Tamandua tetradactyla: one gene and its partner. The protein of the gene in region 1 purifies or fractionates together with the protein of each later gene. This does not show direct contact. Links are inferred from orthologs where the notes say so. Each region holds a gene or a part of one and is shown on either strand. Other genes may lie near its edges.

Evidence for each region. Proteins that work in one complex are often made in the same cells at the same time.
Region 2: the proteins of PINX1 (region 1) and TERT purify together in Homo sapiens (co-immunoprecipitation; 3 studies listed by BioGRID and IntAct, with this or other methods). This does not show direct contact. The link is inferred for Tamandua tetradactyla from reciprocal best matches to the Homo sapiens genes PINX1 and TERT.

Annotation. Positions count from the first base shown.
Region 1 is NC_135329.1:32,277,405-32,285,595, reverse strand, and holds the start of PINX1 (PIN2/TERF1-interacting telomerase inhibitor 1), read left to right. Parts: upstream 1-4,831; 5' UTR 4,832-5,008; coding exon 5,009-5,027; intron 5,028-8,191. UniProt on the Homo sapiens protein: Microtubule-binding protein essential for faithful chromosome segregation. Mediates TRF1 and TERT accumulation in nucleolus and enhances TRF1 binding to telomeres. Inhibits telomerase activity. May inhibit cell proliferation and act as tumor suppressor.
Region 2 is NC_135335.1:49,469,482-49,476,964, reverse strand, and holds the start of TERT (telomerase reverse transcriptase), read left to right. Parts: upstream 1-4,313; coding exon 4,314-4,532; intron 4,533-4,636; coding exon 4,637-5,972; intron 5,973-7,483. UniProt on the Homo sapiens protein: Telomerase is a ribonucleoprotein enzyme essential for the replication of chromosome termini in most eukaryotes. Active in progenitor and cancer cells. Inactive, or very low activity, in normal somatic cells.

The sequences.
Region 1 (8,191 bases):
TTTTCATTCTAGCCCAAGCTTTTCCTTTGATCTCTAGACTCATGTGTCCAACTGATGATGCCTATACTCAAAGACACATCATGTTCAATGTGCCCAAAACTAAAAAAGTTTTATTCCTAACCCAAAATACCATCACTTCAGTTATAGAAACCAGGAACCTTAAAGTTATTCTTGATACTTTTCTCTTTCTCTCTCTCACACACACACACCAGCTTGTCCAGGTCGTCACCAATTCTTATTGATCTTGCTTTCTAAATGTCTTTTTAATTCAACCACTAATCTTCACTTGTACAGCTACTACTGTAGTTTAAGCTGTCATCGTCTTTCACTTGAACTATTACAATTGCTAAATGGGATCCCCATACATACTTTACCCCCTCATTTATTTTCCTCCACAAGGCAGCCATCAGGATCTTTTTAAAACTATTTGTGTTACTCCTCTCCTGAAAATTCTCCAATGGCTTCCCATAGCTCTTAAGACAAAGACCCAGAGGCCCTGTAAGAACCAGCCTCTACTCAACTTTCAGACCTTACCCAGCTCAACCTTTCCCTTGCTCTGCACTCCAGCCACATCAACTCCTTGAATAAGTCATGTTTTAGTTCACTTTTCACTTCCTTTTCTGACTTACGTGACTAAATGAAATCTCTAATCCTCTTTCCTAGCATCATGTATCCCTCCTCCACAGCATTTATCATATTTATAATTTTGCACTTATGTATGTAGTCATTCAATTAATGTCCATTTTCCCTGCTAGAAAGCAAACTTAGTGAGAGCAGGGGTCATGTTTGTTTTTATTCACCTTTATTATTCTAGCATCTAAATCTAGCACGGTGCCTGAAACAAAAAGTTTGCTGAAATAATCATCCTAACTTCTCTCTCCCTTAAAAATTATCATAGCTATTGAGTACTCTGAGTGTCAGAAGCCATCTAAGCAATTAACATATATCATCTCATTATTACCATAACAGTTCAATAAAGAAAGTACTATTATGCTTATTTTGAAGATGAAGAACAATGGAATAGAGAAGTGAAGTAATCTACCCAAGATACATAGCAGATTTGCAAAGCTAGTAAGTGACAGCTAAGATTTGAACCCAGGAAATTTGGCTTCAGAATACAAGCTCTCTATTATGCTATTATACTTTGATACTCAGATTACAGAGTTATGTTTTTTGACTAAAACAAGTCTCTGAAAGTCTTTTCAAATCTGGAAATAATCTCAGAGATCATGTAGCTCTCTCTTTTCATAGATTGGGACACCAATATCAAAATAAGTGAAATGACTTCCCCAAGCTCACACCCCAAGTTAGTATAGAATCTGGACTTTGTCAAGTTTCTAACTGCTTGTCTAGTGCTAATTTTTACATTATATATTTCTTTTTACACACTGTAGTAAGCTATTGCCTCTTAGAAATGAGGGAAGTTTGGCGAGATTTAGCTCTCTTTCTTCTGAAGATAAAACTTTGTTGTTTTAGCTGAAAAATATAAAGGTATAATGCAATATATGACAATTCTTTTTTGTGATTGTACAAGATGTTGAACTAACTTTTATAATGGTGTGCATGTGTCTTTGTGTTGAGAGAGCTCGACAGAGAGTGGTATTCACCAAAGAGCTAGAGAAAAGAAAAACTGTCTGTCCCTGATGTTTGTTTTCACTGCCTGAAGACAAAAATCTAACTCAGATGATTTATGCAAGTGCGTTCTAGGTCAAATTATTTGAAGTATTTTGAAAGAGTTTATCTTTGCCATATAAAGGTGTTCTTCATAAAGCATTTTCCTTAAATGGGGAAAAAAGGCATACTTTATCCCTTAGTTCATTCATATCTTTGTCTCCCTAAAGCCCTGCTACCTAAACAAAGGAAGGTCTGTGGATTATCATTTGGAAGCTTATTAGGAATGCAGAATCTGTGGCTGCACTCCAGACCTACTGAACCAGAACCCGCGTTTTTACAAGATTCCCTGGGTGATTCTCATGCACATTAGTTTAAGAAGATCTATCCTAGGAGGTCTGCTGAGAGGTTAAAGAACAAGACTAAATGTCCTACACTGAATTATCTTCTTTTTAAAAGTACAGTTTCCACTTGAGGCTGATCACTTGAAAATATAAACCAGATTCTGTAATTTAAAAAAAGCAAACTATATATATTTGTCAATGAACAATTGTATTCGTTTGTTAAGCTTCCAGATCGCAATATACCAGAAATGGAATAGCTTTTAAAAAGGGAATTTAATAAGCTGCAAGTTTACAGTTCTAAGACCATGAAAGTGTTCAAATTAAGGCAACAACAAAAGGTTATCTTCACTCAAGAAAGGCTGATGCCATCAGGAACACCTCTGTCAGCTGGGAAGGCATGTGGCTGGCATCTGCTGGTCCCTTGCTCCTGGGATCCATTGCTTTCAGCCTCTGTTCCCTTTGAGGGTTCCTTATTTAGCTCCTCTGACACAACTCTGGGTTCTGGCTTGCTTAGCATCTCATGGGAAGACATATGGTGATGTCTGCTGGGTGCTGCATCTCCAAATGTCAGGGTCTCATATAGACTGTAGTAACTGTTCTCCAAACATCTGCCTCTGTGTCAGCTTTCAGGTTTCTTCAAAATATTTCCCCTTTTAAAGGACTCCAGTAAACTAATGAAGACCCACCTTTAATGGGTGGAGTCACATCTCCATCTAATCAAAAGGTTGGACCTATAATTGGGCATGCCACATCTTCAAAGAGATCATCTAATCAAAAGTTTCCACCCTACAATATTGAGTCAGGATTAAAAGAAATTGTTTCCCCCACAAGACTGGTACAGGATTAAAACATGGCTTTTCTGGGGTTCATAGTAGCTTCAAACTGTCACAGTGATCTTCAAAGATATTTCATTGTCTAGCTGTGAACCTACAAAATATGTTCTGCCAAAGTTTGAGGGCATTGAAGACCAACAAATGAAGCAGGCTACTCCATATTGCAAAATATTAACAGTTTATTAGGGAACTTGCAAACCGTGAAGCCAGTCTTGGGTTGCTATAAGACATCCAGAGGACTACAGGGGGTCATATCTGGTAAGCACAAGGACAACACAGAGCCAAGTTGGGATTTCCAAGATTGTGAATCTATCTCTTTGAGGTTACTGATATGCAGCAGGAGTGGTTCTAGTACAGACAGCTGTTGTGCTTAGGAATGTGCACATGTGCTTTAAGATACACTTACATGGGTTTTTTTTTTTTTTTTTTTTTGTCTTTTCTAGGAATTTATGGCTTCTCTAGTTTACGGCATCACATTCATAAATGCACAGAAAGCTGAATCGGGAACAAATGGTGGAAACCATTAGTCTAACCTTCCATCCAAATGCAGTCCCCTCTACAACATTCGTTTTTGGTTTCTGACTGAACTTTTCCAGGAAAGGTGGCTCATTGTATCACAAGACAGACATCTCAATCATTCCTTGCCATTCACTGCCATACCCACAGTCTTCATTTGGTTCTCATCATCTATCACTTGGACCACTGCAACAGCATACCAAACTTCTGCCTCAATCTTTCTCAAATCATGTACAGATATATGGCTGATGTTCCTGATCAATTCATTATTTTCTGCCCTTCCATTTTTGCTGGTATAATCAAACATCTTCTAATTATCCTAAGAAAGACATGGCGATCCTGCTTTCCTAATTTTGGGCAAGTCCATCTCCCTTCTTTCATCTTTTCCTCCCATGTCACAACTTGCCAGCTCTCTGCCTTGGCTGTGAAAAGTTCATTGACTTTGCATCTCCTCACCTCTCTCAACTCTCACCTATGTACTGATAGCAGCAAATATTCCTTTGTGTTACTATTTTTTACTTTAATGAAACCAGAGTTTACCTTGTTTGTCTAGACACCTAGTTCAAGGGTGAGTTCATTAAAGTAGGAATCTAGTCCTCAACATAGCTTCTCTTGATACCTGGGTGGTACTCCATCTTCCACTTATGAGGGGGAGGCCTCTGTCTGCAGTGTCATCTGAAGTTCATAGGAACGTCACCTGTCCAAAAACATGCCCTTACTGTCTGTCTGCCTCAATCTTTGAATTCTCATTCCAGAATTCCGTTATAACTCCCCTGGAGACAAAGGCACTTTAATCAAATTTCACAAACATCTTTGGAACCCTTGCCATACTCAAATTATTTTACTAGACGCTAGAATGGGAACGGAGATGAATATGATAAAGGCAAAGTTCCAGTGCGTACATCATAGTGGGGAAAGTAAATAAACACCTTTGTGCTGTTGAAGGAATCATATTATTTAAAGAGAGACAACATTTTCCCCAGAATGAGTCATCTGCTTAACTCGGGATCCCAAGACGTACGTATGGATGTATGGGTCAGGTATGTGTCTGTCAGAACGCAGAGGCGAAGTACGAAGAAATGAGATAGCACACCACAATGCAAAGTCTTCACCACCTACCGAGCATCTTAAACATCTGTACACATCGTTGCCAGAACACTGGCGACCCTAAGGACGATCTCGTACGTATCTCGTCTCCCTCTTTTTCCCATTAGACTGTGAGCTACCTGAAGACAGAGTTCGTCTTCTTTCCAATGCCCGTGACATTTAGTCATTAATGAAGACGATTAAAAAGGTAACACATTGAGCGCTTGCTCCGAGGCAGACACTCCCACAAGGGCTTTACACATATCCAATCATTTAATACATGTATTTCCTCAGGTAAATGAACGAACACGGCTCTCTTCACCTCCTTTACACCCCCTACCCTCGACTCCCTCCCTCCCGGCTTCGCGGTCCAGTCACCCTTTCCCGCAGCCTCGCGCCTACCTGGCCTCCCCACCCCAACCTCCAGCCGGTTCGCGCCCCGCCCACCCGTCGCCGCGAGGTGCAGGAGTGAGTCGCACTTCACGACGTCATCAGCGCGCGCCGCTCGCCGAAGCCGCATACCTCAGCGTGCGACTCCAGCGATTCTGGTTTCTCAGCGAACCGGCCACCGAGTTACCACAGTCGTCTAGGTCCCAAGGCCTAATAAAGCGCCCCGAAATGTCGATGCTGGCTGAGCGTGAGTGTGGGACGAGAAAACCCGATTAGGGCACGAGGGTGAAGATTCCGGGGGAACGCGCCCGGCGGGACTGAGTGGTGGGGAGCGCGAGTCGCCGGCGTGCGGTGGGGCAGAGGCGTTAGATGCCCGGGATGTGGGGTCGGGCCGGGGAACCCCATTGGGGGTCGCCGTGGATTTCCCAGCCTCAGCCTTCCACGAAAGTTAGCTACCGGATTAGCTATATTAAAAGAGACTGCGAGCGTCCCATCGAGAGACTTCGGGCCCTTAGACTCAAACCTGGGGACGCGCGCGGTTTGTTCAAATGGAAGTCAGCACACTGTGTCCTGAGACTGGCTATGCCGCCACCGTTCGTGGGGACCCGGACTCGTTCTTTTACTTGCCCAGTTTTCAGCCTCCTCTGGTTAAAGAAGACTTGGGTCCAGACGGATCTCTTCAGCCAGTGAAATATATTTTTGAAGATGTTGAACCCAGGAATAGAAAAGCAAAGGGAGTAAAAGGCATCAAACACAGGAAATTTGTTTGGGGGGTGCGGGGTGCAGGGCTAATAAGTAATTATAAGGAAGACTTTGGCGTTTTTGACTTAGTTGGAAACTGGTTGCTTGTAATTACTAGCTCTCTTCCAAGACTTGGAATTACTAACCCTCTTTCATTGCAGGATTGTAGGCCCCAGCCTTCTTCAGTTTGCCTTTGATATTTACCATCATTTTATAGATTGAAGTTGATTGAATCCCCTTCTCTGGAGGCTAAATTCTGAATGGTATTTGTAGTTAAGGTTTCTTGCCACCAGGTGGCAGTCGTGCTTTGGTCATGAAAAACCGCTTCATGCTTTTTGGAAGAAATTGTGTAGTGAACAGTGACCAGAAAGTTTAATTAAAAGACCAACAGCAAGTTGCACAGGAAATTTGTAAAATAAATGTCAACATTCTATTTTCTAAGGTGATGGAGGAATAGGAGCGTGAAAGGAAATGGGTAAGGCACTATCCCCAGTTATACAGGGGCAGAAATTTAAGTTCAAAGAAAAATAAACTGTCCAAAATCATTCAGCTAGTAGGTGGCAAAATTGACCTAGTTATCTTTGGAACTTTATATTCTTGCCACTAGTACCAGCGATTTTCTACCGTTTCTAAGTTGAGGCTCATAGAAAAGAATGTTTTACATGGTGACCCTCTAGACTCTTATTTCATCATCTATAAAAATGAACAGTCAAGACTAGAACTTAGATGGCTAAAGTCTCAGGTTTTAATGTTTTTTGAGATTTACTTAATTATCATGCATTTGGGAACACTGGCCCTGGTTCTGCCCTTCATTTCTACTGTTTCCATGATCAGTTTCTCTGTGACTATTAAAAATTTCTTTTATTATCTTCATCACTAGGTTGATATAAAAAAATCACTGATATCACTTCTTTTCGCCCACTATTTATTCCAAATTTTCAAATATTTATATAATATTTTGTAGTTTCTTTTAAAATAGCTTGTTAAATTAACATGATTAGATATTTAGAGTTGATGTTCTTATTTTAGAGATGAGGAATTTGAAGCATAGAAAAGTCCCAGAAGTAACCCATAATTTTGCTACCCAGTAATTATTTTTCTCTGATAGTTTATGAAAATGATATCATTCTATAGGTATATTTTTGTATCCTGCTTTTTTCATACTTAGCATTAGATTACGAGCGTTTTCATATTATTAAGAATGCCATTTCCTTTGTGTTCCATTACCATATGATCTATAGTTTGTATTCTGTTATCTTCACCACAGGTACTTATTCTATTTTTAATCTACTAGTGGTTTTCTTTTTTCTCAAAAACGTAAAAATTCTTTATCCTGTTATTTCTCTAATTATGAAATGCGATTTTATTGAATCTTCCCTATGTAAGACAAGGATTTTATCACCCTTCCCACTTTTATATAATTTGGAGTTTTAGACCCAGACTGTTATTAAGATATTAATTCATTCATAAAACCTTTTCAAGATCAATTTTTGACACTTGCAAGTATTACATTTTGTAACCAAATTACAACAAATACAGTTAGAATTACAAATTACAACATATATAGTTAATAATCTTGATACTCACTACATGAAAATTTTATATTATACCTTCCTCAATCTTGAATATATCTTGAACATTTTTTAAAAGAATTCATGCGGGTATACTTTGAGCTCTTGAATATCTGAAAATCTCTTTGGAAAAAACAGCAAAATCTTTGTTTCTGGCTCTTAGGACTCAACATACCTTTCAGAGTAAGCTGACTCCTGGCATAAGCCATGCTATAGCAGGCATGGAGTGATGGAAAAGTGAAGTCCCTTGCAGTTGTTGTTTAGAAAATTTTTTTATTGGAATTATCCTAGATGTATTCTCGTGGGGGAGAGATTTACAATTAGATCTCCAGTTAGGAAGAGACTGTCTGCTAGAGGATGGTGGGGTAGATTGAATCATGTCCCCCTACCCCCATCCCAAAGGCATGTTCAAGTTTCAACTCCCTAGTCTTGTGAGGGTGAACTCACTCAGAGATTCTCTTTAGATGAGGCCAGATTGAATCAGAGTGGAACCTAGCTTAATAAGATTGAAGTTCTTATAGAAAGAGAGGAAATCTGAACAGAGACAGATTGCCATGTGATAGAGGCAGAGATTGATTTCCAGCAAGCCATCATCAGAATGCTGTAGACTTCAGAGAAGGTGTGGTCTGCCAATACTTTTGATTTTTGAGCTTCTCACCTCCAAACTGTGAGCCACTAAATTCCTGTTGTTTAAGCCAGCCAGCTTATGGTATTTGTTATAGCAGCCCTGGCAAATTAAACAGATAGTTAAACATATCATTCCAGAGACTCTGCAGATTCAGAAATCTCTACCCTGAGACCCAGCCCTATCCATCCATTACAGTGCTATCCATTACAGTAGGCGATGTCTAGAGCCCCCAAGACCACCCTCAGGAAGTTCAGTGATTCACTAGGAATACTCAACAGGACTCAGCAAATAGTCATACTTGTAGCTGAGATTTATTACAATGAAAGGTACAGAGCAAAATCAGCAAAGGGAAAAGGTGCATAGGGCAAAGTCCAATGGAAATTAGATGTAAGCCTCCAGATTTCTCTCCCAAAGGAATCACAAAGAATATACTTAATGCCCCCAGCATTGAGTTGTGACAATATCTATGAT
Region 2 (7,483 bases), on another chromosome or scaffold:
ATCCCAGAAGCTTGTTTGTGCTCGCCAACACTGGTATGTAAGTCCGTTCTGAAAAAGGAATCAGAGTCAAACAGTGGCTCCATCACTTCCACGCAAATATTGAGTGAAAAACAAGTTCCCACCACTCCTTCAGGCAGAAGACAGACTCAACCCAGGCTGCAGAGCACAACCAATCCCAGGCTGCGTAGGGGTCCCCTGCTGCAGCACGGGGTCCCATGCCCAGAGCTGGGAGATGCCTCGGCCACTCCGGGGCCTGTGAGGGGAGCCCCTCCATGCAGAGGCCTCCAGCAGCCACACTTCCCTAACATGGCCCCAGCCAGGCCCCGCCCCCACACTCCCCTCACCCCCCAGTGACTGAAGCCCACTGTGGGCCTCCACGAGCCGGGAGGGCCCCTGAGCCCAGCGGATGTGGTGAGACGGGCGCCGTCGGCCACCCGGGCCCCGTCCACAGGAGCCCGTCCAGTGCCTGGACCGGCCCTGCCTGGCCCCTCCCACCCAGGACCTAACACGGGGGGCGGCACCCAGGTCATGGCACCCAGGACCTAACATGGGGGGCGGCACCCAGATCATGGCACCCAGGACCTAACACGGGGGGTGGCCCTCAGCGCCGAGGCGGGACGCAGGAGCTCGGGCTCTGCTGCTCCAGGTGACCAGAGCCCAGGGCTGGGTGGGCCACGGCCACGGGGCTGGCCTTGGTGCCAGCGGGTGGCCACTGCCTGGTTCCAGGCCCGCAGGGGCGGTCTTGGTGGGCAGCTGTCTACACTGTGCAGGCCCCGCGGTGGCGTGGAGCTCGCACCGCAGGAAAACTCGCTCTTGCCGGCACCCCATTCCTAAGGGGCCCAGTGCAGAAGCTGGACAGACGTCCACGGGACCCAGATGGACAGGGAAGACACCACCCCCTGCACGGCCATGGGAGGGAAAAGCCAAGAGGCCCAAGGACTGCCGGTGGCCAGGGGACACAGGCCCGGGGGAAGGCAGCCTGCGGCCTCGAGACACTGCGGCCTCGATACGCTGCCTGCCGCACCCCAGCAGCCGGGAAGCGGGGACAGGTCGTCGGACCAGGGTGGGCCGTGGCTGTCCACCGGGGACGGCTGCGGGCAGCGGGATGCGGGGCACCAAACTGGGCAAGCACCTCCCCTACCGCAGCCCCTGCGCGCTCGCCCTGGGCGGTGGGAAGCGTGACCGGGCGCGGCCACTGCACTGTCGTTGCACCTGCGGGACAGGCCACTCGCCCTCGCCGGGGAGCGTGTGGACACGCCGTGGCACCCCCACGGCACACAACACGGCCCCACAGCCAAAGCCACGGATTCTGAGCAGCGCCAGGCTAGTGTCCGGACGCGTGGCGAGGGCAGAAAGCCCGCCCCAAAGGCCATGTGTGATTCCATTCCTGTCGCGCTCTCCAATCGACAAAATTAGAGCTGGAGAAGGGCCGGGGTCACCAGGGGATGCGGCGAGGGGCGGGAGGCACATGGGGGCCTGCTCGGTATTGGGGCTCAGCTCCCAGCCTCGATCAAGCCGGAGGCCACGCAAACTGAACAGACGCAGGCGGATGCCCAGGCAGTGTCACAGCCACAGAGACGTCACAGCTGGGGCTGAGGGCAGCCCCCAGGCAGACTGAGGACCCAGAAGAAACACTGTAAACAGGCCCCTTGAAGCTGTCAGCCTCGGTCAATGTGTGGCCACCCGAGCCAGGCTGCATCCTGCCCCCGGGATAGAAGGCCACGAAGAGAAGCTGGAGGTCACAGAGCCGAGGCAAAAGGCGGGGGTGGCACCAGGGCCCAGCACTGCCAGAAACCCCCGAACACATGGGACGGAGCCTTCCAGCCTCGGAACCCTGAGCCGCAGAGTGCCCGTGCTTAACCAGCCCAGGGCGTGGTGTTTGTCTCGGTGCAGGACACCGGGGCCCTCGGAAAGTGTCTGGGAACCTGGGAGCGTGCTGCCTTCTGGGGCGAAACGACCTGGAGTAGGGAGAGTCTCCTGGGTGCAGGGTCACTGCAGTGGACAGCAGAGCCAGGAAGCAGGACTCGGGGTCAGAGAGGGCATCGGCTTGAGAGTGCAGGAAGGAGCCATGAGCCCCCCGAGGCCGGAAAAGGCTAGGGGCGGGTCTTCCCAAGCCTCCAGGACAATTGTGCACCTGCACCTGGCGAGCGAGGTCGCTGGACCTCTGGCCCCCAGCTGCTGTGTGCCAGGTCACTGTTACAGCACCTACAGGTGCCAATTCCCTGGGGGTCATAAGGATTTCAAAGCCACAAGTGAGAGAACAGAGCGCTGGGAGTGAGCCCCCGGGGTGGGGGTGGGGGTGCTGTGTCCGGCGTCCAGCATGGGCACCCTGTATACAGTGGGGTGTGCCGTGGACCCCACATCCTTGCATGTACTTTCCCTTAGAATGGGAGCTTACTCCCATTAAGTCCCACGGCACCCATTTTGGAGCCGCAGACGGCTGAGACGCGGCCAGTCCTCCCCCTTTCCGCAGCGCGCACCCAGCACGCCAGGACGGCGTGACCAGCCCCGCCCACGGCACCCCACCCCAAGACCTGCGCCTTCAGCCCCCCAAACCCACGGGAGACCCCCGCAGCGCTGTGGAACCCCGAGCCTGCCCCTTTCCCTCAGGATCTCCCAGGGGTGGGTTGTACACGCAGGCCTGTGGCGTGGGGGCCACTTATTTCTCTCCTTACTCAGGGCTGAAGCGACTCACTGCCCGCCCTGCGCGGGTTGCTGGGTTTCCCTTCACCTCCCGGTGTGGTCAGCACGTGGACACCGCCCTGGAGGCGGCCACCTTGGCGCCCCCCTCCTGGGATTGAAAACAGGGCCTTCCTGCGTGCACGCCGCTGTCTCTGGCTGGGGCGCAGCGTTCAGCACTGCCGCCCGTCCCTGCCGTGGAAGGGCTAGAGCGCTTTTCTGTGGCTGGCCTGTGTTCCAGCCAACTGGGGTAGACTGAGTCACGTCCCGACAAAGGCACGTCAGAGCCCTGGCCCAAGCCAGGGGATGAGCTGTTCTGTCACTGGGATGGTGGCGTGGGCCTGGCCGGCGCTCTGCCCTGCCTCAGTTTCTCCCGCTCCCTTTAAGGATGAGCTGCGCCTTCTGACGCCCCGTTCGTGGCGCCTGTTGAAGGTTCTGTGTTGGGGCAGCCACTTCTCTGTTGGGAAAGCGCACGTTCTCCAAAGCAGCGCGAATCCTTCGCCGCACAGTTAAGCGGTTGTCCAACACCGCCTTGCCGAGGCAGGAGCTGGCGCAGCGCACGGCGGAAACGGCTCCAGACAGCTCTGCGCATTTACCGCAGCCCGGACAGGGTAAATGCGCAGCGACGGCCTCGCCAGCTGCTCAGGTTGGAAAGGTCACGTTTGCTCAGCGTTTCAGCGTTTACGAAACTCCCAGCTCCACTCCAGAGACCCCCAGTGTCTCCACTTGGTGACTCAAACTTGACCGCCCCAAGTGTGGGTTTAAAGTCGAGTCCCGTGGAGTGTCGTGAAGGAGGTGAACTGAGGCCGCCCCGTCTGTGCCCCCGCCCCGTGACCTCAGCCTGTGCACCCTCAAGCGGTGGAGGGGTAACTGGTAAAGGGGGGCCGGGCTGTGGGATCACACCTCCCTCGCGGCCCAGTGGGCCCCTGCCCGTGAAGTGGGTTCTGAGGGGAGAGCTGCCCCCTTGGCCGGGGGGTGGGGGTGGGGCAGATTACACCAGGAACGGCTTTGGTTTGCTGTTTACTGTCCCCACCACGGCAGGAGCCTGAAAAGGGGACCCCGAAAAGGGGACCCTGGCGCGTGGTGGGGCTGCGATTCCGACCCGGTCGGGAACGTGCTGTAGGGAGGGCTGGCTGCCATCGTCCCTTTCCGTGGCACCAGCCGCGCGGGGGCCGAGGGCCTCCGAGGAAGGGAGTAGCAGAACGCCCTCTCCTCAGGGGCGCAGAGACCCCCAGCTCCCTGTGGACCCCATCCGAAGGTCCGCCGCCCCGGCTAAGTCCGGATCCTCTTGGCAGAGAGGCCGCACTCTGCGCCCCGCGCCCGCCGCGCCTCTGAGCCCGGAGACGCCCTGAGAGGGGTCGCCCTGCAGCAGCCGGGTGCGTCCAGACTCCGCCTGCGCTCAGCCCTGATGCGGCCCTCGAGTGCCCGCCCAGATCCCCGGCGGGGAACAGGTGCGCGCAGGTCCCGCCCCCGCCCCGCCCAGGGCTCCGCCCCACCACGCCCCTTCCTCTCCGGGCCCCGCCCCACCACGCCCCTTCCTGCTGCGGCCCCTCCCCTCCTCGCAGCGCCGGCGGGAGCCTGGATCCCCAGCACGTGGGAGCTCGGCTCGCGCGCCCCGGCCCTTCCCCGCCGCGATGCCGCGCGCCCCCCGCTGTCGGGCCGTGCGCGCGCTGCTGCGCGGGCGCTACCGTGAGGTGCTGCCGCTGGCCAAGTTCGCCCGGCGCCTGGGGGCCGAGGGCCGGCGGCTGGTGCGGCGCGGGGATCCTGCGTCCTTCCGTGCGCTGGTGGCCCAGTGCCTGGTGTGCGTGCCCTGGGGCGCGCGGCCGCTCCCCGCTGCCCCCTCCTTCCAACAGGTGGGACCCGCCGGGCCCTTTTCGCCCCACCCCGCCGGCGTGCCGCGGGGCACGTGCATTCCGGGGCGCCGACTCACGCCCCTCAACCCCCGTCGCGTCCGCAGGTGTCCTACCTGAAGGAGCTGGTGGCCAGGGTCGTGCAGGGCCTGTGCGAGCGCGGCACCAGGAACGTGCTGGCCTTCGGCTTCGCACTGCTGGACGAGGCGCGCGACGGGCCGCCGGTGGCCTTCACGACGAGCGTGCGCAGCTACCTGCCCAACACGGCCACCGAGACGCTGCGCGGCAGCGGCGCGTGGGGGTTGCTGCTGCACCGCCTTGGGGACGACGTGCTGGCCCACCTGCTGACGCGCTGCGCACTCTACCTGCTGGTGGCCCCCAGCTGCGCCTACCAGGTGTGCGGGGCGCCGCTCTACGAGCTCGGCTGGTCCCCTGTCCGTTCGGCTCGGCGATCTGCCAGCGCCGGGGAGGTAGCGCAGAGGGTCGGCACAGCGGCAGCCCCCAGCCGGAGGCGACGTCGAGGCAGCGCGAGCGGGTCGTCTTCGGCCAAGAGACCCAGGCGTGACCCGGTTGGGGAGCCCGATGAGCCGGCTGCCCTGGCTGACCCAGGCCGGGTACAGATGCAGAGGGACAGCGATACCCCGACTGGGACAGCCATCCCCGGAGCCGCCACGTTTGCCACCACTTGGGAGAGCGAGCCGTTGGGGACATGTGGCCCTTCCACGCGGGCGGGCAGCGATCGCGCCACCCGGTCCTCGTCCACACGGCCACCGCCGTCGGGTCCCTGGGACACTTACATCGAGACCAAGCTCCTCCTGTACTCCGCCCGGGCCAGCGAGCGGCTGCCGCGCTCCTTCCTGCTCAGCGGCTTGCAGGGAAGCCTGGCAGGCGCCGGCCGCCTCGTGGAGGCCATCTTCCTGCCCTCGACGCCGCCCGCCCGCGGGGCCTCCCGGAGGACGCGGCGCCTGCCCCAGCGCTACTGGAGAATGCGGCCCCTGTTCCGGGAGCTGCTGGAGAACCACGCGCGGTGCCCATATGGCGCGCTGCTCAGCACGCACTGCCCACGCCGGGCCTCAACGTCCGTGCGGGGGTCCCCTGGGCGCGCCGAGGCTGGGGGCCTGCTGTCGGGCGGGGCAGGGGGCGGGCCCCAGGAGAGGCCCCCCAGGCTGGCAGCGGAGGCAGCCGGCGAGGAGGACGCGGAGCCGCGGCGTCTGGTGCAGCTGCTCCGTCGGCACAGCAGCCCGTGGCAGGTGTACATGTTCCTGCGCGCGTGTCTCCAGCGGCTGGTGCCCACCCGCCTCTGGGGCTCCAGACACAATAAGTGTCGCTTCCTGAGGAACGTGAAGAAGTTCCTCTCGCTGGGGAAGCACGCCCGGCTGCCGCTGAGGGAACTGATGTGGAAGATGAGGGTGGAGGACTGCACCTGGCTGCGCCGGCGTCCAGGTGAGCAGGTGGGCCCAGGACGGGGCAGGTGGCTGTCCAGCGGTGGCATGCAGCTGTGAGCACGGGAGGCTCGAGAAGGCGCACACTGGTGGGCAGAGGTCCGCCTGGGTCCTCGGACCCCTTCCCTCACTTGGGGTGCAAGTTGCTTCCTGTTCAGGCCACATGTAGGCCATCTCTGCCCTCTGATCCACGCCCTTACCTGCCCAGCACTGTCCACCCATTTGTGGGCTCAGGCCGGAGCAGTGAGCAAACAGGATGCAGAGGGCCAGTGGAAGCAGGTTTCCAGCAACAGGTCAGAAGTGTCCAGAAGCTCTCATGAGGGTGCGGGCAGCTCACTGCTGTCCCCTCCTTGACTTTAAAGTTTATCCCTGTAAAACCGGGCCCCATGCTCCACGTGGGGGGAGGGAAGAGAAGGGGATGGGAACTGAGCCTTTGTGGGTGGTGGGCGGGGGGCAGCGGGCAGATCCGCACTTAGGGCTGAGCTGGGCGGGGAGGGCAGGGTGCGGGAGGGGTGCAGGAGCCGTGGGAGCCAGACCGATGGGTGGGGAGAGCAGTGGGTAGCCTCTTGCTGCAGGGCAGCCAGGCAGCCCCGAGGTCCTGGGGGGCCCCTTGGTTCATGCCGTGCTCCAGGACTTGACATGGAGTCCCTTCTGCCCCCGTCGCCCACACACTAGTGTCAAGAGGCACGGGCCGCCCGCCTCTGCCGCGCCGTCTGGTGAGCAGCCTGTCCTTCACCCCGCCTCGGGTGTGCGGGGCGCCCGGTCTCCCTCCGGTTGGTGGCTCGGCCCTGACTGTCCCTCCAGGCCCTGCTTTAGCCGCACCCAGGCTCCATGTGCGCCGCTCACGGTAGCGGCCATTCGAGTGTGTTCTCGTCTCTTCTGAGATCAGGTCAGCGCGTTAGTTAAGACGTTTGTGTTTTATTTCCCACGTGTGTGGGATGTCGCGGGCTGTTGTGGGTGGCTTCTCCCCACGGTGTGCTGGTCAGGGGGAGGGGGCTGCACGAGACTGTGTGATGTCTCTTGGGACTTTTCTCCTGCCGGGGGGGTGTGCTCTGCGCGAAGCCCGGTGGGCGTTGGGGCCCCCCAGGCTCCCCCCGTGCTGCCCGGAGCTGCTGCCCCTACGCAGCTGGCACGCGGCCCACACCCTCCCGCGGGGTCTGCGCTGGGCACGCTGCGGGGACCGTGACGAGGACTTGGCAGCGTACTGGAGGGTCCGTCTTCCTGGCGATTGCTCCCCGGTCGTGGCGGCTCTCACGGCCCTTCGGGGGCCGCGCGGTTTCCCTGTGGCAATGGCCGTCCATTGCGCCTTCTCACCCTTCTGTTTTACCCTCTCGTGGCCTCGGACCTTCTCAGCGCGTGTCCTGTGACAGCACGGGGCCGGGGCCGAGGGCACTTTCAGTCTAATCTGTCATTTATCCGCAGGCTCTAACTTGTTTCCATTTCCCCAGAGTAGAGACCTGTTGTGCAGCGTTTCTTTTATCTTCCTTTCGGTTTCTCCTGCTTTTCACCGCG